Cricetulus griseus: one gene and its partners. The protein of the gene in region 7 purifies or fractionates together with the protein of the main gene of each other region. This does not show direct contact. Links are inferred from orthologs where the notes say so. Each region holds a gene or a part of one and is shown on either strand. Other genes may lie near its edges.

Region 1 (4,978 bases), on a different chromosome or scaffold from region 7:
AAAAAAAGTGTTGAGGCCCCTCCCATGCCCTAGGCCCATACCTCCCGGAAGCTTCTCCTTTTCCCCAGTAGACAGGCCCAGTTGCTCAGCCAGTTCCTTCTGCATGGGCCCCAGTGTGTCCTTGTAAGGGCAGCGGGTGGTCCAATGGTCGCCCTTGCAAATGCGGCAGGACACAATCTTCTGGCCCTTGAGCTTGTTCATTGGGTCTTCCTCCTCCTGGCAGTTTAGGTCCTAGTGGGGAATAGGGAAGAGTGGCTCAGAGCCGGCCGCTGTCCACCCCACCCCCACTGCACTTCTGGGTCTCCAGCTTCACCCTGCTCACCTCTTTGCTAGTGATGAATGTCATGGAGACATCATCGCTGACTGTGGTGGTGGCCACATTGGGCCCCGGTGGGTCAAACTCAGAGTAGCCAAACTTCTTCCAATTCTGGGTTCCCAGAAGAATAGGGAAAAATGGGGACAAAGGCAGTAAGATAGCAGAGTGGGGTACCCCAGACAGACAACCCCGTCAGAGCCTTAAATCCTACATTCTCGTGTCCCCAGAGGCCTCCCATGTGATAATGGTGACAATTCTCATTTCCTAAGCTAGGCTTGGTGGAATGTAACTGTTACCCTGACACTTAAAGGTGGAAACAGAAGATTCCGAGCTCAAGGTCACCCTGAGATACACAAGTTCAAAACCAGCCTGAGCTCTGCTGTATGAGGCCAAAACAAAGGAGTGGGGGAGAAGGGGGGAGGGTGTTGGTGAGGTGGTTCCGTGTGTAAAACCGGTTATTGTACATGAAAGAACCCAAAACTCTCATATAGAAAGTATGAGCCAGGTGGTAGCGGCACACATTTTTAATCCCAGCACTTGGGAGGCAGAGGCAGGCAGATCTATGTGAGTTCAAGGTCAGCCTGGTCTCCAGAGCCAGTGCCAAGACAGCCTCCATAGCTACACAGAGAAACCCTGTCTTGAAAAACAAAAAACAAACAAACCAAAGAGTTAAATATAGCCCAGGGGCAGGGGACCCTATCTAAAGAGAATAAGTTGTAAAGTGACATGACAGAGCAAGTCACCCAATCTCCTCCTCTAGTCTGAGTGTGAATATACAGCCATTCATGACCCCGAGACACACCCACACACCTACCCCCCCCCACACACACCCCATAAGGAGAGAAGCAAAAAAAAAACTCCAGGAAACAGCAAGGAGACTCAGAGTAGAATGGCACACAACTGTGCCACTGAAGTTTCTAGGCAGGTGCAGGGCGGGCTCCCACCAGGGAGGAAGCTGGAGGATGTCCAAGAGTCACTCAGATCACAGGAACCTTAAGCTAGTTAAATGGGACCACAAAGCTCCCTGCCTCCCTAGCCTGATCTAGAGGTTGGGAAGCCATGTCTTGCTAAATGCCTGGCATGGAGCCTTGCTCTCAATGTGTTGATGTCCTTCCTCCAGAAGCCCTTGCCCCTTGCTCAGTAGAGGCTGCTTGTTCCTTCAAGTAGACAGAGCAAAGGAGTAAGAATCTAAGTCAGGACCCAGGAGGCTAGGCAGAAGCATTTAGAATCTGAATACTACACAGCAAGAGCCTCTCAAAAATAACAACAAATGGGGCTGGAGAGATGGCTCAGAGGTTAAGAGCACTGAGTGCTCTTCCAGAGATCTGAGTTCAATTCCCAGGAACCACATAGTGGCTCACAACCATCTGTAATGAGATTTGGTTCCCTCTTCTGACATGCAGGCAGAACACTGTATACATAATAAACAAATAAATCAATCTTTAAAAATAAATAAATTAAGGCTGGGCGTTGGTAGCATACGCCTTTAATCCCAGCACTCAGGAGGCAGAGGCAGGCGGATCTCTGAGTTTGAGGCCAGCCTGGTCTCCAGAGCGAGTGCCAGGATAGGCTCCAAAGCTACACAGAGAAACCCTGTCTCGAAAAACCAAAAAATAAATAAAAATAACAACAAAACAAAAAACTCAAGAGGATGGATATGTCCCAGTTAGCAAATTATTTGTCACAAAAGTACCCATCAAAGTCCAATCCCAAGCACCCACAATGAAAAGCTGGGCACAGAAGCATGTGATTGTTATCTCCAAAGGTAGAGACAACAGGCTCACTGGGGATAGGTGGCCAGCTAGTCAAATCTAATTCCTGATGACAAAAGCCCATCTCAATGCAAGAGGAATTTGCTGGAGGAATGACACTGTACACAGGAGCACACAAAAGGGGGGAAAAAAATCTAACCTCAACTACTCCTGGACCCTGAATTTCCAGGGCCTGACACTAAATTTTTAATTCTACATCAACAGGAAAGGACTTCCCAACTCCTCTGGGCCAGTCCTGGAGACCCCTCCGCATACACACACCAAAGTGAGTCAGATGGGAGGGCCTCACCTTCCTCCTGGCCACAGCCTTCGATGCCTTCCGGGTCTCAATCCTGAAGGTCCTGACAATCTGAAGATGGAAAGGGAGAAAGGACTTCCAGAACCTCAAGGCCTTCCTTCCTCACCAATCCAAACCAACACTCACAGCCCTCATCGCCAATCCAAGCGCCCCCGCGGCCACCTCGGCCTCACCTTGAACTTCTTGCCATCTTCATCTACCTTGTACTCGGTCACAGTCTTTACGTTCCCGTTGATGACTTCCTTGGGAGGTGGCAGTGGCTCTGTGGGAAGACAACAGGAACTGAGTCCTGGATAACGGGGACTTGCTGGGAACGGGCTCGAGGGCCGGAAGGGGGAGGGGACGGCAGGGCTGGACGGGGCTCACCTCCGGGCAGTAGCTCCGGCTCTGGACTGGTGTCCCCGGTGGGCAGAGGGATTCCCTTCAGGAGCTCGCTGGTGACACACTTGTCTGTCAGAGGCAATGCGGGGGCGGCGGGGGGGACGGAAAGTGAAACACACGGCTGGGACGTCCAGGCCAAGGTGTGGGTGGGTTTGGGGACTCCGGGGGCTCGGCCCGCCCCGGGACAGGGCGCGGAGGGCCGCGCACAGGCACTCACACGCACGCACTCACGCACTCACTCACACGCACACGCGCACTCACCGTCCTCGCCCTCCTCTTCCACCTGGTCGGCCCAGCTGGGCTTCGAGCTGCGGAGACACGAGAAGGGTGAGCGGGTCCCGACCCCCGCGCCGCCCGGATCACCACACACCCAGCGCTGCCCCACACCGCCTCTCTGGAGAGCCCGCCACCGCCCCGTCCTCACTCAAAGTCGCCCGTCGGCATCGCGAAGTCTAGCTCCACGCAGCTCCCAGCCCGGGTAGAGAGCGGAAGCCCGGGGAGAACGAGGCTTCCGGTGCCGCCCCTGCAGCCTAGAGCGGCCAGACCGCGGCGAGCACAGCGCCTCCCTATGGACGAAGGCGGACACGCGACTCTCGTGTGCAGCGAAGTACGGGGACCCAAGCTGGAAGGAGGTCCCAGAGAGACCGTCCAGAACTTCTTAAACTCTCCGCACCCACTTAATTTATTGTTTTTTTGGGGGGGAGTGATGGGATTAGAAGTCACTGTATCACTCTGTAGCTAGGATAACCAGCAATTCCCGACAATCCTCCTGCCTCAACCTCCGAAGGGCTGAAATTATAGGCATGAGCACCACGCACTGATGTACCGAAGGCTGGGTTTGCACTCATAGCAATCTCCCCAGTTTATTCTCTTGTGGACTGAGCCCAGGTCTTCAGGCTTGGCAGTCAGCCTTCTTAGCTGCAAAGACATCTTGCAAGTTCTACCGGTGTCATCTTTTTTTTTTCCTCCGTTTTTTATTTGAATTAGAAACAACATTGTCAACAAAACAAAACAAAAATAAAAAACACCAAAAAAGGCCGGGCGTTGGTGACACACGCCTTTAATCCCAGCACTCGGAAGGCAGAGGCACAGATCTCTGAGTTCGAGGTCAGCCTGGTCTCCAGAGCGAATGCCAGGACAGGCTCCAAAGCTACACAGAGAAACCCTGTCTCGAACCCCCCCCCAAAAAAAAGGAAGAAAGCAACAACATTGTTTTACATGTTAATCCCAGTTCCCTCTCCCTCCCCTCCTCCTCTGCCTCCCTCCCCCAAGTAACACCCTACCTATCCCATGCCCTTTCTGCTCCCCAGGGAGGGTGAGGCCTTCCATAGGGGGGGGTCATCAGTTTGTCATATCCTTTGGGATAGGACGTAGGCCCTCCCCCGTGTGTCTAGGCTCAGGGAATATTCCTCTATGTGAAATGGGTTCCTACCAGTGTCATCTTAAACTATTTCCCATACTAAGCTTTTCTCCTTCCTCAGAGCTACACCCCCTAGAACTCTGGTATAATCTTCCTTTACTTGATTCTCAGCCTCTGGGAACATGCATTCCAAGAAGTTCTTTCTTAGTTTGGGTTGCTAGTGCAGATGGAAAGCACACGCTGGGCGCACTTGTGATGACCTATATTTCCAGCACGTAGAATTTGTATTATGGAGCCGTGTGTGTGTGTGTGTGTGTGTGTGTGTGTGTGTGTGTGTATGCGCGCGCGCGCGCGTGCGTGTGCAGGAGTGCATACCTTTAATCCCAGCACTTGTGGAGGCAGAGACAGGTGGGTCTCTGAGTTTGAGACCAACCTGGTCTACAAAGTAAGTGCATGACAGCCAGGGCTACAGAGAAACCCTGTCTTGAAAAACAAAACCAACCAAACAAAAACAAAACAAAAAATTTACTAGAGAAATGCAAAATCCAGACAAATGGCCTTTGCTTTGTTTTTGTTTTTGTTTTGTTTTTTCAAGACAAGGTTTCTCTGTGTAGCTTTGGAGACTCTCCTGGAGCTTGCTCTGTAGACCAGGCTGGCCTCAAATTCACAGAGATCTGCCTGCCTCTGCCTCACTAGTGCTGGGATTAGGGACATAAGCCACCATCACCTGTCTACAAATGGGAAAATTCTAAAAACAAAATTTAAGTGGACAGCATTGACTCAGTGGTTAAAGGCACTGGCTGCACTTCCAGCAGACCTGGGTTCCATTCTCAGCACCCAAATGGCAGCTC
Region 2 (4,962 bases), on a different chromosome or scaffold from region 7:
CTATATCAGGGTTCTCAGAGAAACAGACCAATGGGATACATGGATAAAAGGGAATCCAAAATCTGCAGGGCAGGCGAGCAGGATAGAGACTGGGAGGTCTGATGCTGTGGTATGGAAGCAGAAGTCTTCCTTCCTCAGGGTCCTGTCTGTATGTGGACTCACTGGCTGGATCCACATGTGTTACAGAGCTTTATTTGCTGTACTCAGCTTATTGGCTTGTTAATCATATCTAACAGAGTCGCAGCAACTAGACTGGTGTTTGACTAAAAACTAGGTAACGGGTATCACAGACTAGTCAAGCGATACATAAAATTAATCACTCGCCGGGCAGTGGTGGCACAGGCCTTTAATTCCAGCACTAAGAGGCAGAGGCAGGCAGATCTCTGTGAATTCAAGACCAGCCTGGTCTACAGAGTGAATTTCAGGACAGCCTCCAAAGCTACAGTGAAACCCTGTCTCAAAAAACCAAAAATAAACAAATAAAATTAATCACTCCAATTACTAAGTTCTATTGCCTTTCATCTTCAAATATTTTAAAGACTGGTTCCTTCCTCTCCATTGTCACTAGCTTAATTTAGACTTGAATTCTCGTTGAATTAATTCACTGAAGTTGGGGGTTGCATAGCTCAGTGGTAGTGCAAGGCTTGCAGAAGATCTTGGTTTTATTCCTGGCACAGCAAATTAATTAATGTACTTTTCGAAATGTTGAAGATAAAAATTGTGAATGATTGTGTCCTCAGGGATGTATAGTCCAGCTTTTTGCTACTGTCTCTCTTGCTTACTTTCAATCCACCTTTACAAATAGATGCTTTCTTTATAGATTGTCGTCGCCTCACAATTTAATGATGCTGTAGTACACTTCTTGAAACACCATCTTATTAAATGTTTGTTTTTAGACCAAAAATACACAAGAAACGGAAATAAGAGAATGGCTGATTACTGTCTTTTTAAGAGTTTAAAAACTGTAACTATGTTGGAAAATACATTTAATTATTTATTTAATTAACCAAATACCTAAACTGGCTCGTCCCTTAACATCCTTACAGGGAAGCCCAGTGTCAAAGGAAAAAATTCTGCTTCTTTTAGGTTCTTTATCATCAGTTTACCTGTTCGTTTGCAGTCAGGTGAGGACCACAAGCCTTCTCTCAACCAGAAATGCACCGGAGCACAAGTCACTTGGTTTCTCAAACTCCAACTTCACCAGTGTCTACCGCAGGCAGCCTACCGCAGACAGGGAACTGCAGCCTCCGCCGCCGTTAATGCTACCTTTTTACATCTAACCTCATAATGCTACTTTTTGTTGCAGCCATCGCACTGTGTCGAAATCTGTTTACATAACTATTTTGCTACCGGGCTGAGGGCAAACTAGAGCACACGCCTGGCACAGACCACGGAATTCTTAAATGTTTTCGCCAAAGAATCGCCGTACCGGCCTCAGAGGGGCTCACGGGAAGGGAAAACTCGGAGCGACTGGGGTCGACTTCGACCTCCAGGCCCGCCTGCATGAAGGCTGCGGGAGGACCGCCCCGTCCGCCGTATCCACCGGGCACGACCGCCCGTTCCCAGTAGATGATCAGCGGCCCCCAGGCGAGCACCGCCCTACCCACGCCTGCGCACTCCCTTTTCCTTCCTGGGAGGGGCCCTGGCTGGGGTCGGCGTCCCCTAGCCCAGCGTCGCCCCGCCCTGCCCCGCCCGCCGCGCGCGTCGCCCGAAGGGGTGGAGCCTGGGCCGGGCGCCCAGTCAGCCACGGTCCCAGCCTGCCCCGCGCGGGCCAACGAGAGCCATCCCAGTGACTCACCTCTGCCGCGCTAACTCTTCGCAGCTCTTCCCTTCACACACGCTCACCCGCGACTCGAGATGGCGGCGGCGGCAGCGGCGGCGGCGGCGGCGGGGGACTCGGACTCCTGGGGTGAGCACAGTTCCGGCCCGAGTGCGGGCCGTGACGGCCTCGCTCCCACGCGTGTACTAACGCGACTCGCTCTCTTCCGTAGACGCGGACACGTTCTCTATGGAGGACCCGATGCGGAAGGTCGCGGGCGGCGGCACGGCCGGCGGGGACCGCTGGGAAGGCGAGGACGAGGACGAGGACGTGAAGGTAGGTGCGGCCGGGGGCGCCAGGTAGCTCGGCAGGCGCCGCCTGGGCGGGGGGCGGGCGGCGGCGGGCGGACTCGGGGCCCCAGGGCGCCGCCCGGGCCTGCGGGCCGTGGGTCCCGCGTGAGCGGCGGCCCAGCCGTGCCCCGGTTCCCTTGGCTGGCCGGCCATGTGGGCAGCAGGCGGTGGCGCGTCCCGCCGGACTCTGCCGAGGATGGTGGCAGCCCGTGTCCCAGCCCTTCACCGAGGGTCGGCTCCCCGGCCTGGATCCTAACTGGCGACTAGAAGTGACAGCCAGCAGTCGGGTCGGCCCACGTGCAAGCTTCGCAGGCCAGAACCTCTCATGGCAACGAGCCGACCAGATTGGAAACTCGGCTTCAGTGTCTGTCCCATATGGAAAGTAGGGAGACCCGCCTGCCTTTCCTAGTTTGGGTCTCCCAGATCAGTAACTTAAGTATGATCCTGAGGGTCGGTGGCTGGTTCCAGCGGTTGGATGAGCAGAAAATCTTAGTTTTTCTAAACTAGAATTGGTCACTAAAACAAACAGCTTTTAGGTCTCCCTTCCCCCACCCTGTGGTAAGAAGGATGAACTGAGCACCGAGTTAACCGGCAGGTTAGTGGACGGAAACCTAGGACAGAAGTGTGAGCAGTGAAAAATGGAAAGGTAATAGTCACTCATCTACACAGGTCCAGGCCTAGAAAAATACCAAAGATTTGGTAGTTGAAGTAGACCAGTGGTTTTGTTTGTCTTGTAAGTTCGAATCCGATTCATCTTTATTGTTTTAGAAAACTCCCATGGGCTCATCCTACAGCTTTGGAAGTCATTATCTTCTGTGTTCATTAAAAAAAAAAAGTTACAAGTCTAAGCTCCATGATTGTACTAGTGAAGTTTTCAAGTCTTGTTATATTTGTGCAGATAAAGTTTTGTATGGAATGAAAAATTTTTTCTTCCTTGGATTAATCTAGTACCTTGTAAATCCTCCTGGTGGTCAAATTTTTGAGCTAAGTAATCATTGTGAATTTAATAGTACTCTTTGGATTGTCTTTTTCTGAAGTTTGTTGAAGTGTGTGTCCACTTTACCAGACAGCCTGAATTTGAGGAATGAAGTGAGTTTTTCATACATTGAAGTTAATAATGACTAATAGTATTGTTGAGTAGCTACTTACATGTTTTGTTTACCTATTGTGTACACTACACTTGGGGATGATTTGTTACCAACCTTCTTAACACACGACAGCAGATTTTCAGTTTTGATTTTTCACTCTTCATAGGAAGTGGAAGTTAAGACATAAAGTTAAAGAAGTATAAAAAAGGAGTGGAAGTTAGTCCAAAACAAAATAGGGGGCTGGGGTAAATAAGTGGAATTGGGAATAAGTTCCAGAAAATTGTTAAAAGTTGTCTGTAATGATGTAGTATCTACCTGGGATTATGGAATCTAAATGGTATTATCGTGATGTTAATAATTCTCATCACTCACAGTGGTTCTCAACATCCCTAATGCTTTAACCTGACCCTTTAACATGTTGTGTTTAACATGCCCTCATGTTATGGTGACCTCCTACCCATAAAATTTTTTTTGTTGCTACTTCATAACTGTAATTTTGTTAGTTATGCATCATAATGTAAAATGCCGGATAGCTGATACTGGCCTCCGGTGAAAGAGTCATGAGGCTGGGCGTTGGTGGCCCACGCCTTTAATCCCAGCACTCAGGAAGCTGAGGCAGGCAGATCTAGGTGAGTTCAAGGCCAGCCTGGTCTACAGAGTTCCAGGACAACTCCAAAGTAACACAGAGAAGCCCTGTCTTGAAAAACCAAAAAGAAAAACAAAGGGGGGTCATATGGGTCCAAGGGTTCAAGACTCAAGTTGAAATGTTTTATTTCCATTCTCATGATACAGTATAAGAATAGTTTGACTCCTGGGTTTTAAAATGATACTGATTATAATGTTACCTTAGCATTTTCTAGATTTGTGGCCATAAGCAAGTTATACTGTCTCATTATGTAAATGGTTGTAATGAGACCTGCAATTCAGAGTTACTTTGTTGTTTTTTGCTTGTTTGGTTTTGAGACAGGGTCTCACTGTGTAACACTGTATGGCCTAGATCTCACTATGTAGACCAGGCTAGCATTGAGCCTCACAGAAATCTGCCTAGCTCAACATCCTGAGTGCTGGGTTTAAAAGAAGTGTGCCACCATGAGAGTAACTTTGTATTTTAAGTGAGCATTAAGCAGGGCCACCTAGCACTTGTAGATAATCAGTAAATATAGTTTTCAGTGATGTTTTCTTTTTTTTATCCTATGGACATATTTAGGCTGCTAAGATCTAGTATCTGAGGTTTATTTTGTGCCTCATTTCCTAAGGCCAGAAAGATAAGTATTTTCTATAGTATATATTTACTATGAATTTTGTGGAGTTTGTTTTTTGATTTACATATTTGGAGGTTTGTTAAAATTGAATTTTGTCACCTTACATGGCAGTTGAGTCATAGTACTAGCTTCTGAATTTTGATGTTTTAGCATTTAATCTTTTTTTGTAGGGGTATGCAAACAAGGCTAAATTTTCATTAAACAAAATAATCATAATCCTTAAACAAATTAGTATGTGAATTTAAAAAAAAAAAATACCCGAGTTGAGTATGATGGTAAGTGCCTATAGTTTCAACACTTTGGGGAAGTTGGGGGAGAATCACTTGAATCCTGTACTTGAAGACCAACTTGGGCAACTGAGTGAGAGTTCTATCCCCAAACTATAGAAAATATTCATTTTATGTCAGGATCAAGTGCTTTGCCTTGTAAATGACCAGTTTAATGCTACTTGAAGTATCTTTTTTAGTTACTTGCCCTAATTGACTATCCTTTTCAGTAGACAG
Region 3 (3,510 bases), on a different chromosome or scaffold from region 7:
AACAAGTGTTAGGCAAAAACTCCATGGTAGGGTGAGTTCTTGGCCAGTATTTACAGGCTGACTCCTGAGGAGGACAGCACCCAGCGGGGAGAGGCAGCTTCACAGCAAAGAGCCACTCCTAAGACAGTGAGATGAGAGGTAGGTGTAGGCAGAGAGGAGTATGTAGATACAAAAGACTAGTTGCCAGGAGCCAGGAAGGTGGAGGCCGCAGGTTGCCCAGCGGATCCCAGGCTGTGTGCGCTCCTGCAGCCACCCTCAGCAGCAGGAATACAGACGGAAGGTGAGTATACCACGGAAAAACCCAGCGGAAGGCAGGCCACAGAAACAAGCCAGAGTCGGTTAGCCCCCTCCCGTTCGCTCATCTGGCCCGACCCGCCTCCCGGGCGCAGGCTCCTCCCTCTCCTTATACCAGCCCCCTCCTCACTGCCCCTTCCACCCACGGCCCCACCGGGTAGCTGTGTAGCCCGATTCCCTGTCCATGCTCCGGCCTCCGCCTCTTACCCTGACCGGCTGGGCGCCGAGAGCCAATACAGCCCATGGCAGGGCACCTAGGCACGCTAGCCCGTGTTTGGGACCCGGGCCATCGTCTTGCTGAGGGTCGGGCCGCGGTCACCACCGGGGAGGGGACAGCCTGTGAGAAGGGGAGGGGGTGGGAGCAACGCGTCTGCTGCCGCTCCCGGGAGAGGGGAATAGGGCCGGTGACGTAAGCCCGGGGCTGTGCCCATCCAGAACAGGCGGGGCAAGTCTACGTCACAGCCACTCAGTAACAGTCTAGGTCTTGAAACAGCCTGTATCTCCACTGCGGTGCCACACCGAAGGGAGAAGCCGGTAGGCCACACGGGTCATTTTACACAGGACGCCCCCTTTAGAGCTTCTATAGTTCTAAGGGCCTCAAACCCAGGGCCTGGATTAATCTGGTAGGCGCAAAAGTACTCTATAGCACCAATTTCCCGTATGTCAAACCAGAAAACCCAACCCTCCAGAAAACCAATTCCCTGGGTCCCCCACCCCCAATCACTGACTGGGAAAGAGGCAGGTACCAACACTGATACAGTGCCAAGTCTGGAGAGGACCATGCCCACCTACCCATACTCTTCCAACGGAGCAGATCAGTAAAGAGGCAATGACTTAATTGAATTCATGTTTAATAATTACAGGCACCGTGCCCCCCCCTTTCCCCTGCCCAGGCAGCAGCAGGGGTGGTGCAGGGGCTGGGGCATATGCCCCCAGCAGCGAGGACGGCAGTCCCAAGAGTGATTTCAGAAAATAAAAAAGGACCCTAGAGGCAGGCGGTAGTGCCCCTCCCCCCGCAAAGACACACCAAATTTCAAGACTTTATATATATCTCTGTGCCCCGGGGGGAGGAGAGGGACACTTGGCAGCATCCTGGAGGGGGGGCCCCAGGCAGCCCCAAGCCATCCTGCCTCATCAGCCACTTTATTAGCTCAGACACATCGCACTACAGGCACCCACTGCCACTGCCGCCACTGCCACCGCCGCCCCCCTGCAGTCCAGGCAGCTGGCTGGCTGGGCCATCCACGTGTCCATGGCTCCAAGTCCCCGGCCCCACCCGCCATCAGTTGTGATCAGACTCCTCCTCCTCAGCCTCTCGAAGCCAATTGAAGAAGGCTGTGACAGATTTAAGGGCCACACCCTTGCCCTGCTGCTCAGCAGGGTCCTTGCTGCTTTCCCAGCTGTAGAAAGCGTCTTCCTTCACGACGTCCTCATCATACAGGGCATCAAAGAACATCCGAAGCAGGTCTGCAAGCCACAAAGACATCAATTAGGTGACCAGTCTGTAGCCAGAGGTCCCTCCCAGAGAGACTGTAAAACTACGCCCTGCCCTACTATACTGGCCAGGCTTCTGACAGAATGCTAATCTCATGACAGAGACTACTAGCCTAAGAATTCATTACTTGGCCATTAGCAATCTTCAGAAACAGGCAGTTCTGGTTATTTAGCAAAACTATATGAAAAGGGAAAAAATGAGGCCAGGTGTGGTGGTGCACATCTTTAATCCCAGCACTCAGAAGTCAGAGGTGAGCAGATTTCTCTGGTTGATGCTAGCCCAGTCTGCAATAGACTATTCTAGGCCAGCTAGTTCTACACAGTGACACCATGTCTCAAGGTTGATAAGGGGAAATGGGAACATCACAAGTAGAATCAAAGGAGAGAGATGAAATGAACAATGTCAGGCATGGTGGTTCACAACTGTAATCTTGGAATATAGAGGCAAGAGGTTCAAATGGTAAGGCCAAGTGCCTAAATTAATTCGAGGCCAGCCAGACTACTTAAGATTACATCTCAGAAAACAGTTGGAAACCAGACATCTGAGTTCAACCCTGAGTCCAGGATTGGAGACAACAGGCACAGATCCTGACAAACACTTGAACCATCTCTGGCTTCTAGAGTGCTACACTCTGTCGGAGTTCCTCGGAGTGCTATATACACACACACACACACACACACACACACACACACACACACACACACACACACACACACACACGTATTTAACCCACTTGTCCAAATTAAACATAAAAGCCATCTTTCAACTATCCTATAGCTAAACAAGATTTTTATATAATTTGTCTCAGTCAACCATCTGTCCTAATTGCTTATCTACCACTTCCCTATACCAAATTCTTTCTTTTGTTCATAGAGCCCTTTCTGTGTCTCTACTTCCCCACTGCTCTATTCCTCTGGAGTCAATCCCATTATCTTCTTGTGAAAACATTTTGGAGAAAGTGATAGTTCCAGCAGGACCTTTCAAAGCAAGAAGCCTCAGTCTTCCCTTACTGTAAAAGGCAAATAAACAGCTAATTGACAACATTTTAAAGGAACTTATGCTTCAAGTACTGTTTTGGTTGTTTTTGTTTTGTTTTGATGTATGCAGCCCTGGCTGTCTTGTGTCACCATGACCAGCTGGGGGTTAGAGTAGGGATTTGATAAAACAAGGCCTGATTCAGCGTAGGTGAGCATTTGGTGCAATAGAGGATCACAGGGTGAGGCACCATTTTCAGCTCAAATTCTTTGCTTACAAAGCCCTGGTGCTACTTATACGGCCTGAAGTACCTATCCCCACGCCCCGCCCCCAACACACACACACACACACACACACACACACACACACACACACACACTACTTCACACTTTGATTTCCTCACCCCACTCGGCCTGCCTGTTCCATCTGTCAGTCAACTAATTCCTCCCTACCACCCCTCAGACTAACCTTCCAACACTCCCTCAGCCCCTGACTACAGGCCAGCCCACAACTGTGGTCTGCTTCCTTACTACGGTTACCTAACTAACACTTGAACATACCCATGTGCTCAATTTGTAAACCTCAGTCTTACAGTGTGAAAAAAGGAGATAAACCCACAATGGCTATGAGATAAGGCAATGTAAGCCAAGCATTTTAGCCTTGTGCCAGACTCAGTGGGCACATCATGTCTGAAAGATATCATTTTTTGTTGCTGTCACCTACTGGCCAAGCACAAAGCCTGCAGG
Region 4 (3,325 bases), on a different chromosome or scaffold from region 7:
TCTTTGTTCCTGTGTGAAGGCAGTTGTCTCTTACATAGGTAGATTTTTCCCTTTTCTTCCCAGAGAACATGGTTGGTTTTTGTGTAATTATAACTATTAGCCAAATCAGTCTGTACTGATGGAATTAATGTGGTGGTACGTCATTTTCTATGCTGTTGCAGTTCAGGTAAATGCTATACAGTGTATATACAGTGAGTCTCCCCCCATCCCCCAGATACACGAAGGAGAGAGAGTGAGAAGTCTCTAGAAAATGAAACCCTCAATAAAGAAGAAGACTGTCACTCTCCAACCTCCAAACCTTCTAAACCTGATCAGCCTCTAAAGGTAATGCCAGCCCCTCCGCCAAAGGAGAATGCGTGGGTGAAGCGAAGCTCTAACCCTCCTGCTCGATCTCAGAGCTCAGACACAGAGCAGCAGTCCCCTACAAGGTGAGTAGGCCTGCAACAGCAGCTGCTTAGCTGGAAGGTGCCCTGAGGGGTCTTGGCCTTTGTAGTATGTATAATTCATACTGAGGTGTCTCATAGCAGTGTGTTTTTTTCATTTTTGTTAGCCAGTTGGCATCGTTTTGATGGGTTGAAATCAGCTATGATGGGCGCATTTATACCACAGAAATTGTAGACATGTCTATTGGGTTTTGTCCTGAGATATACTGTTAGTGTAACCTTGGAGGGTCATATCATTTAAGTGACTTAAGATTCTCTTAACTTTTCTCAGTTTTTGCAAAGAGAAAACTACTATTGCCTTGCTGGGTTATAAATTCCAAAGCATATGGCAGTTGAGTGTGGAAGTGACTGCTTTCATTGTCTTTTCCTATACTTAAATATTGCAGTGTTCAACATGCAGGCTCTTGTGTATTTCTATAAAGGCAACCCACTGCATTCTGGAAATGGTATAAGCTTGTGTTGTCTTTCTTGTAAAAACTGATGGTTGATTGCTTGCTCCATTCTAGTGGTGGAGGGAAAGTAGCTCCAGCTCAGCCCTCTGAGGACGGACCATCAAGAAAAGGTGAGCCAAGGGAAGTAGGTTTTGATCTGTGTAAAGCCTTGGATACAAACACATCCAAGAGCTACAAAATCAGTTCCCAGCACCAGCATATATGGTGGCTCACAACCATTCATATCTCCAGTTTCTTTAAGGCATTTGATGCCTCTTTGCCCTCCACAAGCACCAGACATAGGTGGGGCACAAATATGCAGGCAATACTCATAAAATAAAAACAACTCTTAAAAAAATTCCTGAATTAAACACCTTGACCAAATAAATTTGTTTTTGATTTTCAAGATAAAGGTATGTAATCTTGGAACTGGAACTCATTCTGTAGACCAAGCTGGTCTCAAACTCTCAGAGATGTACCTGCTTCTGCCTCAAAGTGCTGGGATTAAAGGCATGAGCAAGAAAAAAAGAAAAAAATATTATTATTATTATTTTTTTTTTGCTGAAAGCTGCAGTATTTGTGTCTCATGAAGACAACAAGTTCATGCATGTATATGATGTATTTTAATCCTATCATTACTGCTGCCCTGTTAGCTTCTCTTGTCTCCTTCCTGCCAATCCCTCTTCCCCAGCTAGCCTCTATTCTACTTTTATGACTTTTGTGGGGGAGTTGCCTAGTGGGCTTTATTGAGGATTACAAAAGTTCTGGCACCTTACCAGTGGCCACACTATTCAAAATGTCTTCCCTCCCCCTGTCAACCTTCAGTCAAGAAATTTGAACTTTTATGCCCTGTTTTGTGATGTTCTTTTGATGAGCTACCTTTCCTTGCCAATAGAGGGCAGGAATGGGCTCTTCAAAGAGTGTCAGAAGCTGGCTTTCCTGGTAAACCTTGCCTTGGTGGGGAAATTGGACAGGAATAACTATGTCTGTCCAGGTGAGAAATGTCACCATTAACCAGCCAAGGTCACTACAGAACAATCTAGTCCCTTTTTCTCTTTCTTTCCTGGAAGAGGGGTTTGCTGTTTGTTTGGGGTTTTTGTTTTTTGAGATAAGAGTTTATCTGTGTAGCCCTGGCTGTCCTATAACTTACTCCAAAGACCATGCTGGCATCAAACTGAGAGATCTGCCTATCTCTGTCTAACCAGTGCTGGGATTAAAGGCCTGCACTACTACCACCACCTGGCTTCTGGTCTTTATTTCTATATTGCTTTTCCGGGTGACATTTACTACAGTGAGACTTTTTAATATGTCTTGTTTGGTATGCCTGGGTGGTATAGGAACTTGGGAAGAAAGGCCTGGAATGGAGTTAATTTCCCTTAGTACATGTTTTCTTCGGCTTAAAAGAAAATCTAGTACAAGGAAATAGGTTACTTTATGTGACTTGAATTTGGTTTTTGTGTTTCTGCTTAAACAGATGAAAATAAAATAGATGGGGTAAATGTCCCAAAAGGCCAAACTGGGTTCCCAAGTCGTGGCCCTGGAGATGGAGCAAACAAAGACCACTGGAAGGGGTTGGACAGGAAAGATGGCAAAAAAGATCAAGACTCCAGATCTGCACCTGAGCCAAAGAAATCTGAGGAGAACCCAGCCTCTGTAAGTGTTGTGTGCTTGCATCCACTTCTCATAGCTCAGTTTTGCAGACTCCTTTTTTCTTGAGACTGGAGAAGTTGGAAATGAGGCAGTGGTGTTTTTTTCAAGTTAATGAGAAAAGCTAAGATGGGCTTTTTGTTGATGAGTCAACCCTTCTGAGCTCTTACACACTTGCAAAGTGGAAAGGATGTGTATTGCTGGTGAGCTGACTTGTGACCCTGGCCCTCCCTGATTGCTTCGGTGGAACATGCTACCCCTAGATGAATTCATGTCCCCTATGCCAAAGCATTAACTTCTGCTTCTAGGAAAATCTCAGACTTTATTACTTTGTCCCTCTCATCTATTATAGAAGTTCAGTTCTGCAAGCAAGTATGCTGCTCTCTCTGTGGATGGTGAAGATGAGAATGAGGGAGATGACCACGCTGAGTAGACCTCCACATGCTGTGCTTTCTTCTAGTCTCCACCCCGGAAGATTCAAGAGCAAATCAAACCTCTATCCAGACAAGAAAAAATAAAGCTCACCATCTCCTGAAGACCTTTCTTAACTTTTTTTTTTTTTTTTTAATGAAATGAAATTGTTTTGCATGCTGCTGCAGCCTTTTAAAGTATTGAAGTAACTGGAGAATCACCATTGTAGCCAGAGAGATGTGGCTATCACTTTTGAATGGGGAAGTTGTGATGTGTTCTGATGATAGAAGTGGTTACCTTTGTGACTAGTGCCTGGGGCTCCATTCAGCAGAAATGTAGTGACAGTGAGACTCGGTTGCATCAGTTAGGCAGTAGAGAAAGGTACAAGGAAGA
Region 5 (3,131 bases), on a different chromosome or scaffold from region 7:
AATACCAATAAACCCAGGAGGCTGAGGCAAGAGGATTTTGAGTTCTTGCCAGACTCTGCTGTATAGCAAAAAGATAACCCTATCCTTCTTGTCTGTTCCCCACTCCCCAGAAAACCCAGGAGTCTGCCTAAGCCAGACAGGCTGTAAACAAGTCCCAGTGGGATTGGAAGAACTAGGAGGTGTTAGGTAATGGGATAGAGTTGTGATATTAAGTAAGATCTGGGAGTGACTCACCCTAGGAATCTTTCCATGAAATGAGACGCCCCAGCTGGGCATGCTGGTCCCCTGGGGCTGAATCCTCTTAGACCTGGAGGCTCTCAGTGTACACTGGCATCTTTGAAGGCAGCAGTTAATGGTGCTTGCTTTGAAGGTTTAATCCTGAGAGACTTGTCTTGATTTCAGCAAATTAAGAAGGATCTGAAGAAATACTCTAAGATCTTCGAGCAGAAGGATCGCTTGAGCCAGTCCAAAGCTTCAAAGGTGAGCCCCAGGGGATGCTCACGGGAGCCTGGGCCTGGGCACTAGTGAGAAGGGTGTGCCAGGAGCCTGGTCTGGCTTGTTCTTCCATATGAGAGGGGGCAGCTAACAGTGGGGAACAGAGGGCCAGCACTGGTCCTTGGAACCAACACCCACTAACACTGGGTAGAGGCTGGCTTTTTCTTATAGAAGCAGGAGGGGATAGAATCAAAAAGAGAAGTGAGGGAGGTTTTATGGAAGGTGTGTCCAACAAGGCTCTGCTTGTCATCTTCCAAACTTCAATAATGGTCGCTGGACACAGTGGGGGTCGCTATGAATGAGCAAATATGTCTTGCTCAGCCCTACAACCTTCCCCACCTGATAGGAACTGGTGGAAAGAAGGCGGACCATGATGGAGGACTTCCGGCAATACCGAAAAATGGCCCAGGAACTCTACATGAAGCAGAAGAACGAGCGTCTAGAACTGCGGGGAGGTAATCAAGCTTCCAGGCTTGTCTTCAATAAGAGTGGTCCCTGAGGGTGTGGACTAGAGCCCTGTAGCCGGCATTGCAGCCACGTCCCAGGGGTTAGCCTGCTCTCTGTCTTCTTAGGGGTGGACACTGATGAGCTGGACAGCAATGTGGATGACTGGGAAGAGGAGACCATCGAGTTTTTTGTCACTGAGGAGATCATTCCTCTCGGAAGTCAGGAGTGACTTCAACACTGTGGTAAGACTTGTGAACGTGAAGACAGGAATGGGTGCCTACTTAGTCAATGGCTGCTTGTTAGACCACAACATAGAAGACAACCCCAGCAAGATGGTAGTGCCACCACTGGTGGTTGATAGGGAGCTTGGAAAGAAGCAGAGGCTGGCATGAGGCATCACTGGTGGTTGATAGAAAGCTTGAAAAGAAGCGGAGGCTGGCATGAGGGCAGTGCTGCAGGAAGGAGGATCAGGTACAACACTGTGTCATCCAGTGTTGGTAGTACAGGAGTGAATGTGTGTGGTGCTGGGTTCTCTCAGGAACTGTGAGAGCTGAGCGTCAGGGTAATGTGGGTGCAATTGACATGCAGGCCAGCTCTTGGCTAGAGGAACTACCTCTCATGCCAGGAGTGTGGTCAGTGAATAATCCTTTGCATTGTGGCTAACTAAATGGTGGCTCATCTATTGCAGTGTTACTGTGCCGTGCCCAGGATCCGAGGCCACCCTTCACAGAGAGCCTCAGGCTGGGTTCTCATCTGTGCTTTTTTGCTCTGGACTTCGAGTACACCCGGGGTTCTTCCATCCCGACACAGCTCTGTGCCTTCAGCCCCTGGGTCCACAGTGGGGACACTCGAGGCTCCTCTCTCATTTGACCTGTTTGGGTTTTTATGCCATGTCTGCTGTGGGGCCTCATTGCAGCGCTCTTGGTGGCTCCTTTCACTCCTGCTGCCCGTGGTGTTTCCAGAGACTCCACCTGCAGCTCAGTGGGGTCCCTATTCATGGACTGGCTGTCCCTGGAGACCTTCAGGGGAACTGCACGCCCACCACTTACTTGTGCCAGTAGCTCTGGAGGCACCCAGCACCTCACACCTGTTCAGGCTGTGGCGGGGCCCTCTGCGCAGGTTGGATGTGGAAATAAAAGCAACCCTGTGTGAAAATGCTGTCTTGTTCTTCTTTGCCATTTGCAGTGGCTGGCCTTGAGGCCTGCCCATTCCCTCTCCCTAGGGTGAGAATGTTTGCACACTTGCTCCTGGCTTGTTGAACCTGTCTGAAATCTAGCCAGGAGCCTAGTGTACCACATCCCAGATGTAATGTATTCCATCTGTTTCTGTGAGAAAATGCTCATCTCACCCCACAGAACCCTTAGGTTTTCCAGAATTGGGCAGGTTGGAAAACAGGTACAGAGGGGAGCAGCCACTTAGACACCTAGTGTCCAATAGAGAAGACAGCAAACTTGTGTAGCTGGGCTCCACAATTGGTGAGCTGTGGCCATGCTCTATGCAACCTGCCTCTTGCAGGCTCCCTTCTGGCTCTGCATCTCTTGTGACCAGAGAGCTACCCCAGGCTGGGCCTGCAGAGCATGTACTATACCAGCAGAGGACAAAGATCAGTGCTTTGACTGTGTCACCTGTCCTGGTTCTTAGGTTCTTTATTCCTTTGTGTTCTCTTGAGGTTCCATCGTGGTTGCAGTCCCCTTCAGCACTTTTACCCCACAGTATTGGCCACTTGATGTTCTTTAAAAGTCTTTTTCCAGCTGGAGAGATGGCTCAGAGGTTAAGAGCACTGAGTTCCAGAATTGAACTCAGAGGTCCTGAGTTCAATTCCCAGCAACCACATGGTGGCTCACAACCATCCGCTATGAGACCTGGTGCCCTCTTCTGATGTGTGGATATACATGGAAGTAGAATGTTGTATACATAATAAATAAAATCTTTAAAAAAATACATTTTTCCAGTTTCACAGCTATGAGAAGAAAAAGGCACGCACACATTTAAGCACATTTGCAGGTTTTTTGTTTTTCTTTCTTTTTTTGGAGACAGTTTCACTGTGTAATAGCCTTGGCTGTCTAGGAACTAGCTGTATAAACCAGACTGGCCTGGAACTAAAAGACATCTGCCTGCCCCCCATTTCCTGGGTGCTGGGATTAAAGCTGTGCACTACTACTGCCCAGTGTACATTCAAAGGTTTCAAA
Region 6 (4,397 bases), on a different chromosome or scaffold from region 7:
CGCATCACCACGCGGAGCGAGAAGCCTCTGCGGAGCATCAAGCGCATCTTCCACACCGTTACCACCACAGACGACCCTGTCATCCGGAAGGTGTGCACCCTTTGCCCATTTTTAGGAATGTTGCTGAGGCCCAGAAAGAACAGGGTGTGAGATATGGACATGTCCCCTCAGTAGTCACGGGGTTGATTCAGGACCACCCCATGAATACCAAAACTCATGGGTGCTTCTTTATGACTGATGTGGACTGTCAGTCCTGGCAATCTTCCATGTTTCAGATCTTTCTGGATTGCTCAGGACGCCTAAGACATAAGCAGTTGTTATTCTGTTGTTTGGGGAACTTGACAGAAAGAGCATGTGCATGTTGATTAGACATGGTCTTTTTTGTTCTCCTGAACATTTGGTGAATTGACTGGTGAAGACTTCACAGAAACAGCTGACTGTGTACATAGTCCAGCCCTTAGATAAAATTATTCTGGATCAGACTTAGAATTTGATGGAAGCGGAGACTTGTTGCTGGGTGGATATAAATGTGGTAAGCCAAAGCATGCTCAGACCCCAGCTTTGCCAGGCAGACCGTATCGCACTAGAGTTTTAGCTTTCTCACCTGCAAAGACAGAAACTAGAAACTAGTGAGCTGAGTGTGGTGTATGCTTCCACAACAGTGACGGAGCAGCCATGCCAGCCAGTTTGCTTCAGCCTTCTTGGGTGACTGGGGAAGTCTTTTCCCTCCCTGGTGACCTCAGCATCCTCACTTCACTTTCTCTCTCCCTCTCTGCCTCCTTGCAGCTGGCAAAAACGCAGGGCAATGTGTTTGCCACTGATGCCATCCTAGCCACACTGATGAGCTGCACACGCTCTGTGTACTCCTGGGACATTGTAGTGCAGAGAGTCGGGTCTAAACTCTTCTTTGACAAGAGGGACAACTCTGACTTCGGTAAGTAGCCTGACTGGGGAGCAGCTCGGGGCACTGGTATTATTGGTCTTGAATATTGCTTGGTCCTGAGAATGGGTCATGTGTCAATCCCTCCCATCCTCCTGGAGTCCAAGGGAAGAGACCACTTCAGTGCTTCCGTGGGCTTCGGCTCTGAGTCCTCACACCACCACTGTGGCTGTGTGTTGTTCACTTGCACAAAACTTTCCTGGCCTTTTGTTTTGGTTTTTTGTTTTTTGCTTCTGCATTCATATACTATAAAGAAAAATATATGCGTGTATTTTATGACACATGTATATACACACCATTAATGAATCACTTGCAAACTGACAGTATGAAAACAAAGCCATCTGATTGTGTTTGAGTTGTGAGCCTCATTTGTTAAAATGCCAACAGATGCGTTCTCTTGAGGAATCTAGAAGGAATGGCTTCTTACTGTGTGATTGGTGGTGGTAGGTCAAATGGAAGGTCATGCAAGAGGCACACACTCTACCCACACATGCCACACATACTCTGGGGAGAGACCCTATTAGCAGAATACAGTTCTTTGGAGATGGCACCCTATAGTCTGGGTCTCTACATCTCCCCATGCTGCTTTGCACACTGCCAGTGGCTCTTGGCAATGTGAGCAGCTGACCATCCATGCTTGGGCTTTTATAGACCTCCTGACTGTGAGTGAGACAGCCAATGAGCCCCCTCAAGATGAAGGCAATTCCTTCAACTCACCCCGCAACCTGGCCATGGAGGCCACCTACATCAACCACAACTTCTCCCAGCAGTGCCTGAGAATGGTGAGCACACAGGAGCGGGTGGGGAACACCGACTTGCTGATTTGGGTGATTTAGGGGGCTGCTGCTGAGCCTCTGCTTTGCACTAGACTGTGGTGTGGTGTTGGCCAGGAACGGCCTCTCCTGGTGGCAGAGGATCCAAGCCACTGACAGGTCTGTGTGCTTGGACATATTTCCTCTCTGTAAAGTTACAATATTAATACTTGTCTCACACAGATGAGCTGTGGAAATGCCTTTGGCTCAAATGCCATTTTTTGCCTTGAGGATATGATATTGAACAAATTGTCCACTTTTCACTGTGATGAAGGAGGAAGTATGAAGGCCATTACTGCCCTGTTAGGTTAGCTGTCTGTCTGTGGTGAAGAAGGAAACAGGGAGGGGCATTCAGTGGGATGTGTTGGGTTTAGTCCTTCGCACAAGTAAGCCCAGATCCTCAAGGACATAAAGCAGTGCTGGGTCTGCTGACTTGACATCAACACCATCTCCTGAAAGCTTTGTCACTTCTGCAGGGGAGAGAAAGATATAATTTCCCCAACCCAAACCCATTTGTGGAGGATGACATGGATAAGAATGAGATCGCCTCTGTTGCTTACCGGTATGTCAGCTGTGATGGGGGTGTGCCCAGATTGGAGCACAGACCCTGTCCTGTGCTGTCTGGAATGGTCCATCTAAAGCAGCAGATGTTACAGAGAAAGAATCTTGCTTTCCTTGTAGTTACCGCAGGTGGAAACTTGGAGATGACATTGACCTTATCGTCCGCTGTGAACATGATGGCGTCATGACTGGAGCCACTGGGGAAGTGTCCTTCATCAACATCAAAACACTCAATGAGTGGGACTCCAGGGTGAGGCACCATTGCAGCTGTCTTCCCTGTTGTGTGTAGTGGGATTGGCTGGAGTGAGGTGACCAACCTTTAAGTGCTCACAGAGCCAACGTGGATGGGGGCTGCAGTTTCTTTATCCACATAAGTCCCTGCTGACAGAGAACAGTCAAGTTAAGGGGTTTCTGCTTTTGGCGCCTTTGTCTATTCATTCTGGGCACCCATTGGCTCCAGCACTCTACACATCTGGTCTTGATCTCATCTTGTCTTGGAAAGCCCAGTCACTCTCTCTGACGTCTTTCTGTATATGCTCAGCCTCACTGCCACCTTGTGATCCCTTTGTCCAGCTCTGCCACTACTAACCTCAAAAGACTTAAGATAGCGGTTCTCAACCTATGGGTTGTGACCCCTTTGGAGGGTTGCATCAGATATCTACATTATAATTCATAACAGCGAAATTACAGTTATGAAGTAGCAGTGAAATAATTTTGTTGTTGGGGGCCACCACAACATGAATATTAGAGGGAGCAGCAGCATTAGGGAGGTTGAGAGCCTATGCTCTAAGAGCTGGGCAAAACATGAGTATACACACGCTCTCCTCTTTCCATTGTACAGCTGTGGGCAGTCCACCAGGATAATCAGGTCAGGTGTCATTCTTTCTCCCTTGCTTTATGTGTGGCACTCTGTTGAAGTTAAGGGCAGGGCCATTGCCTCTGTACAGGATAAAGAATACTGACAAGGACAATTCTGGGGCCCAGCCAGCCTGAGATGGTTAGCTTGCCATCAAAATGTGGCTCAGAAATCCATCCTCTGGTGGGGCCAGTGGCCTTCTCCCAGACTTCTACTGTAGCATCTGTCTTTCCTCATATTTGTGCAGTTCTGAAATCACACACCGCTACCCTACTCACAAGTGAGGTTGGAGCCTTGGGGTAAATCCCCAAGCAGCTCTTGTCCCAGAGTACCTTGTACTTCAAAAACACATGAAAAGAAACTTATGACCTAAAACAGCACCTATAATGGTGGGCAGATAGTTTCATTCTCTGTTGAGGTATTGTGGGTGGCAGTGACTATGTCCCTAGAACTGAGTGGGTTCCAGAAGAATGTCTGCTGTGAGTTGAGAAGTCAGTTCCTTGCAATGGTACAGCTGTGGTCCCTGTTCCTTGTCAGCACTCAGGTGCTCCTTTCTCCATTTGGGAGTCTGCTGGGGCACTCTTTGTCCTTGTGCCTGGCATTTGACTTCTGTCTGACTTCCGTATACTCTGTTCAATTCATCTCTGCCTGTGATTGTCCCCAGGATGCTGGCAGGGTTCTTCAATGTCATGGCACTCTCTAGGGGCTACAGCATATTTTCAAGTTTTAAGGGAAATAGAATCTGTCAGATACTAATCTCTTGTGGGAACCTCCCTGCCCTGTGACCTTGGACTGCCCCATTCCCCACATCTGGAAGTCTATGCATAGGAAGCATCAGGTGCTGGGCTCCTGCCCTCAACCCCACCTGAGTCTCACCCACCTGCCCCTCAGATCCCAAACTTCCTTCTCCATATGTTCACCATGGCACGATGTAAAGCCCCGTTGCACCACACAGCACCCTTGTCATTGAGTTTTGCCTTCTCCGTTACCCGCAGGTTGGGTGGATATGTACAGCGATGGTCGTGTCTTTGTCTCTTACATGATAATTGGTCTACGTCTGACTCAGGCATACTTTTCACTTCCTAGTGGGCTCCTGTCTTCAGAAGAGGCCCTGGGGCCTTGTGGCAGGTGCCTCTCACCCAGTAACCATCTTTCCTTCTGCAGCATTGTAATGGCGTTGACTGGAGACAGAAGTTAGACTCTCAGCGTGGAGCTGTCATCGCCACTG
Region 7 (4,397 bases):
TACTAAGAGTATTAAGACATTTATTTGTAAGTTAAATTTGGTTAAAATTCGTCAGATAAGTTAACTTAAGAGTATCGTAGCTAGAGACCAAAGGAATGATTTGGGTTGTCTCGGAGAATCCGTTAAGTTTGCCGAAAGGAGGGGGATTGTAGGGTGTCTCTTCCATCACAGAAAGAGATGGTACCAAGACAAGAATACTTGATATAAGATTATTGATTTGATTGTGGCTCGCTGATTTATTGTTTTCTTTTTAGCTTGAGTAGGTAGGTATTGAACTTTCCATGAGCTACTGCTGAGCTAGCTATGCTTCCAGCCTCGTTGAGGTGTTCTTAACTGTAGTTTAGGATGTAACATGGTTTATAGGGCTTTGTTTTCACATATTCTTTATAAAAGCGTGTAGCATCTTAGTGTCCCCTGCTTTGTGACACCCTTTGCCCTTTTTGCTGTATGTGGGTGTTTTGAGTGTATACATGCATATGCACGCTTGCATGCCTGGTGCCCACAGGGGTAGAAGACTCATGGAGCTGGAGTTGTCAATGTTGTGTTGGCAGCTAAACACAGGTCCTGTGTGGGAGTAACAAGTGCTCTAAACTGTTGAGCCATTTCTCCAGCTCCTCCACCATACTCTTTAAAAAAATAAAGAAAGAAAGAAAGAACGAAAGAAGCAATACAGCCAGAGGCTAATGAGTGAATAAGCTCCCGTGGAAGAGAGTTGTCTGCATCCATCCGCTCGCTCAGGTGACTGTGGAATTGCAGTGCGGTCCTTCCTGCCACATAGTGGTAGATTGGAGCACTCTGTTTGGGCCTTTTCTGCAGTTTTTCAGTCATCCTCTACTCCTGACGTAAAATTGATTTCTTTGCCTAATGTCAGATGTTGAAAAACATTGTGATATGAGTCTTGTTTGCTTTTTGAAACGATAGTGCTATGACCAGGGGAATAGCAGTAATAAAATTTTTGGCAAAACTTCATCAAGTTTTAAAAGTAAAGTTGGCAGGTTCAAGGTGAAGCAGTTATGGCTATCCTAAGCAGCCATGTGTTCATTCTTTATTACAGAAATAGCTTGTTGACTGTAAAACTTTCCCCTTTATTTTACCTTTGGTGTGCATTGTTAACCTGTAATGCTTATTTTAAAAGATTTATTTTTATGTGTGTGTGTGTGTGTGTGTGTGTGTGTGTGTGTTTATGTGTGTGCGTGTGTGTGTGTGTTTGTGTGCGTGTGTGTGTGTGTGTGTGTGTGTTTATGTGTGTGTGTGCGTGTGTGTGTGTGTGTGTGTGTGTGTGTGCGTGTGTGTGTGTGCGTGTGTGTGTGTTTGTGTGTGTGTGTGTTTTTGTGTGTTTATGTGTGTTTGTGTGTGTTTATGTGTGTGTGTGTGTACATCCACAGCCGAGATGCGGGCATCTAGTCCTCCCCAGAGGCGGAGGTAAAGGCTCTTGAGAGCTGTCTGACGTCTATGCTGAAGGCTACACTCACTTCTCTTAACCTCTGAGCCATTTCTCCAGCTCTATATTGCTTCGTAATGCCATTTATTTTTATGAATATGTCCCTCTTTCTAGTTAATACTGCCTTAAATGAAATAGAGAGAGAGAGAGAGAGAGAGAGAGAGAGAGAGAGAGAGAGAGAGAGAGAGAGAGAGTGTCATTAATTCAGCAGAAGGAAACATCATCAGACCTTTTCATTGTATGGTGATTAAAATACAACCTGTCTAATAAAAAATCATCTGTTAGCACAAATGAACGCAAAGAGAAGACAAGTAGATGCAGCAGGGGGCACTAGATGAAGGCAAAAGTGAGTTCTTACGTTGAAGCAGCTGTGTAGCCTGTGCCTGGTTCCTATGTGAGCGGTGGGGTTTTCTTGATGGCCGCTTGCGAAGGAGACAGTGGTGACGGTCTCACTATTAATCCAGCTGGAGTGGCTGCAGTCTGATAGTTGTACACCTTTCCTCATGCACTCATGGTTTCTAGAGCTTTTGAAAAGAGGAGTAGAGCAGGACATTCATTAACTAGGTGTTTCGAATACCTTTTGTACAAAACGTGATTTTGTTAAAAAGGGAAAGAATGATTTGAAAACTTTGTTCTCTTTCTGTGTAAATGAAGAAAGGTTTATTTTCAATGTTAGTGGTATCTTTGAATGCTTGGTTTTTTTTGTGTGTTTATTTGTTTTTTTCTTCTCTAACCCCCCCCCCCCCTTGCATCTCTAGTCCAGTATCAGATGGAGATGATGCGAAGCCTGCGCCATGTCAACATCGACCACCTGCACGTGGGCTGGTATCAGTCCACGTACTACGGCTCGTTCGTGACCCGGGCGCTTCTGGATTCTCAATTTAGTTACCAGCACGCCATTGAAGAGTCCGTCGTTCTCATTTACGGTTAGTAGGAGGCTCCTTTATTATTCTTTTCCTCCCGTAATATTATTACTGCTATTTTTGCTTTCTGTCTTTCTGCCTCACGGAGAAGCCCTGGCAGGCCTTCTCAAGTAAATATCAGCCCCGTTCTGCAGCAGCCTCAGCAGCAGCTCCGTCTAGACAGGGTTTCCTTCTTTCTGTTTATTTTTCTTGCTATCAGAGCCCTGATGTGTACGTTTTGGAATGCTGGAGTAGCTGCTTCATTTTTTTTCTCATCTCCCTCCTTCCTTGCAGGGGCTGGTGGAATAAGACCAGATGTCTAACAAACCCCGATTGCTGGCGTGTCTGGTTCTGTACGTGACTGACCAATCATAATGCAGCTTGCCAAGTTTTCCTTTTTTTTTTTCTTTTTTTATACCTCTGACAGCAGTGTACAAAACCTGGACTGTTTCTTAGCACAAAGATTTTTTTCTTTTCGGCCTATTTAATGGTGTTTCCTCAAGCTCTCCAGACCAGATGTTCTGTGCTATATCAGAACCGTAGGCAATTTAACAGCTTTATAGCCTCCCCCTTCCCAAACACTCACAGTTTGCCATATCTGGCAGACTTGCATATAGTTTCCAGCTGAGAAGTAAATGTAACGTCCTGAGTATCTGTCAGAAAAAATACTAATGAATACGATCAATCTTATGAGCTGCCCTGAAATTGTTTCAGTGTGTTAGCAATTGGATTACAGAGAGAACAAGTTGTTAAAGTGCACTTATATTGGCTGGAAACATTGCATCATCAGACCTTGATGAATTTTCCACTTGCTTCAATCTATTTTGGTTTTCATTTTATCACCTATTGCTAAAAGTTTGACTGTGTTGAATTTCAGACGACATGAATGCTAACACAGGTTTTAGGCAAGCGTTGGCACACCAGAGCCGTTATCATGCAGCAAGCGCTAAGCTCCCTTCCTTGCCGAGTGTTCGTTCAAGCAGTCAGTTTTGACAAACTTTGTTTCTCAGACTGAAAAGACAAGTTGTGATAGCACTTGGACGGAGTGGTTTTGTTTTTACATCTGCTTTAGTGAAGAACCGTGGACAGCACTCACTGGGATGATACGCTTTGTTCCCAGGGCTATTTGTTTTCAGTTTATTGACTGAAGGGCTGGAGAAGTATACACAGAGATTTTCTATGTTTAATATTCATGAATATTTTCTCCTATCTATGCAAGATCTATAGGACATTATCACATATTTAATTTTCACCAAGTTGACTGGTTCTCATTGAGGGATGGATTTGAAGGTATCCCACCTAGATTTTGGCTCTTAGTTTTTGTTTTAAGGAGGAAGCTATGCTGGTTTTAGTCAGCTTCAAATGATGTCCTGATTATTTCTTTTGGTCTTCATATTTCAAAGCTTGTATGATAAGTAACAGTGTGCCCAGAACTAGTACTGTATGAGAACTAGTAGTGACAATATTCTCAGTGATATCTTTCTCTTTTTCTTTTTTGAGATCCCATAAAAACTGCCCAAGGTTCTCTCTCACTGAAGGCATACAGACTGACTCCTAAACTGATGGAAGTTTGTAAAGAGAAGGATTTTTCCCCCGAAGCGTAAGTGTTCCGTGCCCATGAGGCACGTTGTAAAGGACTCGTGTGATTGCTTTAGGATTTCCGTTAGCCACGTGCTGGGCTATGGTAATGCCACTGGCGTGTGGATGAAAACGCTTCTGCGTGTACAAGTGCCACTGGCTTTCTCCCTCTCCGTGTTTGAATGATTCTGTATGGAAAATCTCATCTGCTGTTTTTTTACGGTGACTGCAGTTAGTGGGAACTAATTACCCACCGTATTTGAAGCCCTTTAAAAGTGGTAGGATAAAGGGTGTGAGAAGAGAGAGTGCTTAGCCACCATCAGATTGCAAGCTGTAGCCTGCTTCTGCACCGTGCGGCCTGTTGGATGGCGTGCAATAGACCTAAACATTTCAAGGATTCAGAGAAAAAAAAGTGGCTTCTTGGAACTTAGGGGGTAAGAGGTACAGAGCACATTAACTGTTCTGTGATCCCATTT

The links.
Region 1: the proteins of Eif3h (region 7) and Eif3g purify together in Homo sapiens (affinity purification with mass spectrometry; 8 studies listed by BioGRID and IntAct, counting the BioPlex papers as one, with this or other methods). This does not show direct contact. The link is inferred for Cricetulus griseus from reciprocal best matches to the Homo sapiens genes EIF3H and EIF3G.
Region 2: the proteins of Eif3h (region 7) and Eif3j purify together in Homo sapiens (affinity purification with mass spectrometry; 3 studies listed by BioGRID and IntAct, with this or other methods). This does not show direct contact. The link is inferred for Cricetulus griseus from reciprocal best matches to the Homo sapiens genes EIF3H and EIF3J.
Region 3: the proteins of Eif3h (region 7) and Eif4g1 purify together in Homo sapiens (affinity purification with mass spectrometry; 4 studies listed by BioGRID). This does not show direct contact. The link is inferred for Cricetulus griseus from reciprocal best matches to the Homo sapiens genes EIF3H and EIF4G1.
Region 4: the proteins of Eif3h (region 7) and Eif4b purify together in Homo sapiens (affinity purification with mass spectrometry; 3 studies listed by BioGRID and IntAct, with this or other methods). This does not show direct contact. The link is inferred for Cricetulus griseus from reciprocal best matches to the Homo sapiens genes EIF3H and EIF4B.
Region 5: the proteins of Eif3h (region 7) and Eif3b purify together in Homo sapiens (affinity purification with mass spectrometry; 10 studies listed by BioGRID and IntAct, counting the BioPlex papers as one, with this or other methods). This does not show direct contact. The link is inferred for Cricetulus griseus from reciprocal best matches to the Homo sapiens genes EIF3H and EIF3B.
Region 6: the proteins of Eif3h (region 7) and Eif3d purify together in Homo sapiens (affinity purification with mass spectrometry; 10 studies listed by BioGRID and IntAct, counting the BioPlex papers as one, with this or other methods). This does not show direct contact. The link is inferred for Cricetulus griseus from reciprocal best matches to the Homo sapiens genes EIF3H and EIF3D.

What each region holds. Positions count from the first base shown.
Region 1 is NC_048597.1:133,767,768-133,772,745, forward strand, and holds the start of Eif3g (eukaryotic translation initiation factor 3 subunit G), read right to left. Parts: upstream 3,303-4,978; 5' UTR 3,212-3,302; coding exon 3,192-3,211; intron 3,076-3,191; coding exon 3,029-3,075; intron 2,837-3,028; coding exon 2,753-2,836; intron 2,649-2,752; coding exon 2,560-2,648; intron 2,438-2,559; coding exon 2,378-2,437; intron 428-2,377; coding exon 323-427; intron 232-322; coding exon 42-231; intron 1-41. UniProt on the Homo sapiens protein: RNA-binding component of the eukaryotic translation initiation factor 3 (eIF-3) complex, which is required for several steps in the initiation of protein synthesis.
Region 2 is NC_048599.1:56,409,973-56,414,934, reverse strand, and holds the start of Eif3j (eukaryotic translation initiation factor 3 subunit J), read left to right. Parts: upstream 1-1,747; 5' UTR 1,748-1,857; coding exon 1,858-1,909; intron 1,910-1,991; coding exon 1,992-2,095; intron 2,096-4,962. UniProt on the Homo sapiens protein: Component of the eukaryotic translation initiation factor 3 (eIF-3) complex, which is required for several steps in the initiation of protein synthesis.
Region 3 is NC_048597.1:67,959,732-67,963,241, forward strand, and holds the end of Eif4g1 (eukaryotic translation initiation factor 4 gamma 1), read right to left. Parts: intron 1,762-3,510; coding exon 1,577-1,761; 3' UTR 1,129-1,576; downstream 1-1,128.
Region 4 is NC_048595.1:398,493,107-398,496,431, forward strand, and holds part of Eif4b (eukaryotic translation initiation factor 4B), read left to right. Parts: intron 1-214; coding exon 215-428; coding exon of another isoform or gene 429-432; intron 433-949; coding exon 950-1,005; intron 1,006-2,348; coding exon 2,349-2,527; intron 2,528-2,873; coding exon 2,874-2,954; 3' UTR 2,955-3,325. UniProt on the Homo sapiens protein: Required for the binding of mRNA to ribosomes. Functions in close association with EIF4-F and EIF4-A. Binds near the 5'-terminal cap of mRNA in presence of EIF-4F and ATP.
Region 5 is NC_048597.1:77,071,012-77,074,142, forward strand, and holds the end of Eif3b (eukaryotic translation initiation factor 3 subunit B), read left to right. Parts: intron 1-402; coding exon 403-480; intron 481-841; coding exon 842-950; intron 951-1,067; coding exon 1,068-1,171; 3' UTR 1,172-1,184; intron 1,185-1,630; 3' UTR 1,631-2,097; downstream 2,098-3,131.
Region 6 is NC_048595.1:375,059,909-375,064,305, reverse strand, and holds part of Eif3d (eukaryotic translation initiation factor 3 subunit D), read left to right. Parts: coding exon 1-90; intron 91-786; coding exon 787-934; intron 935-1,591; coding exon 1,592-1,722; intron 1,723-2,228; coding exon 2,229-2,314; intron 2,315-2,433; coding exon 2,434-2,563; intron 2,564-4,333; coding exon 4,334-4,397. UniProt on the Homo sapiens protein: mRNA cap-binding component of the eukaryotic translation initiation factor 3 (eIF-3) complex, a complex required for several steps in the initiation of protein synthesis of a specialized repertoire of mRNAs.
Region 7 is NC_048603.1:3,300,117-3,304,513, forward strand, and holds part of Eif3h (eukaryotic translation initiation factor 3 subunit H), read left to right. Parts: intron 1-2,199; coding exon 2,200-2,367; intron 2,368-3,843; coding exon 3,844-3,943; intron 3,944-4,397.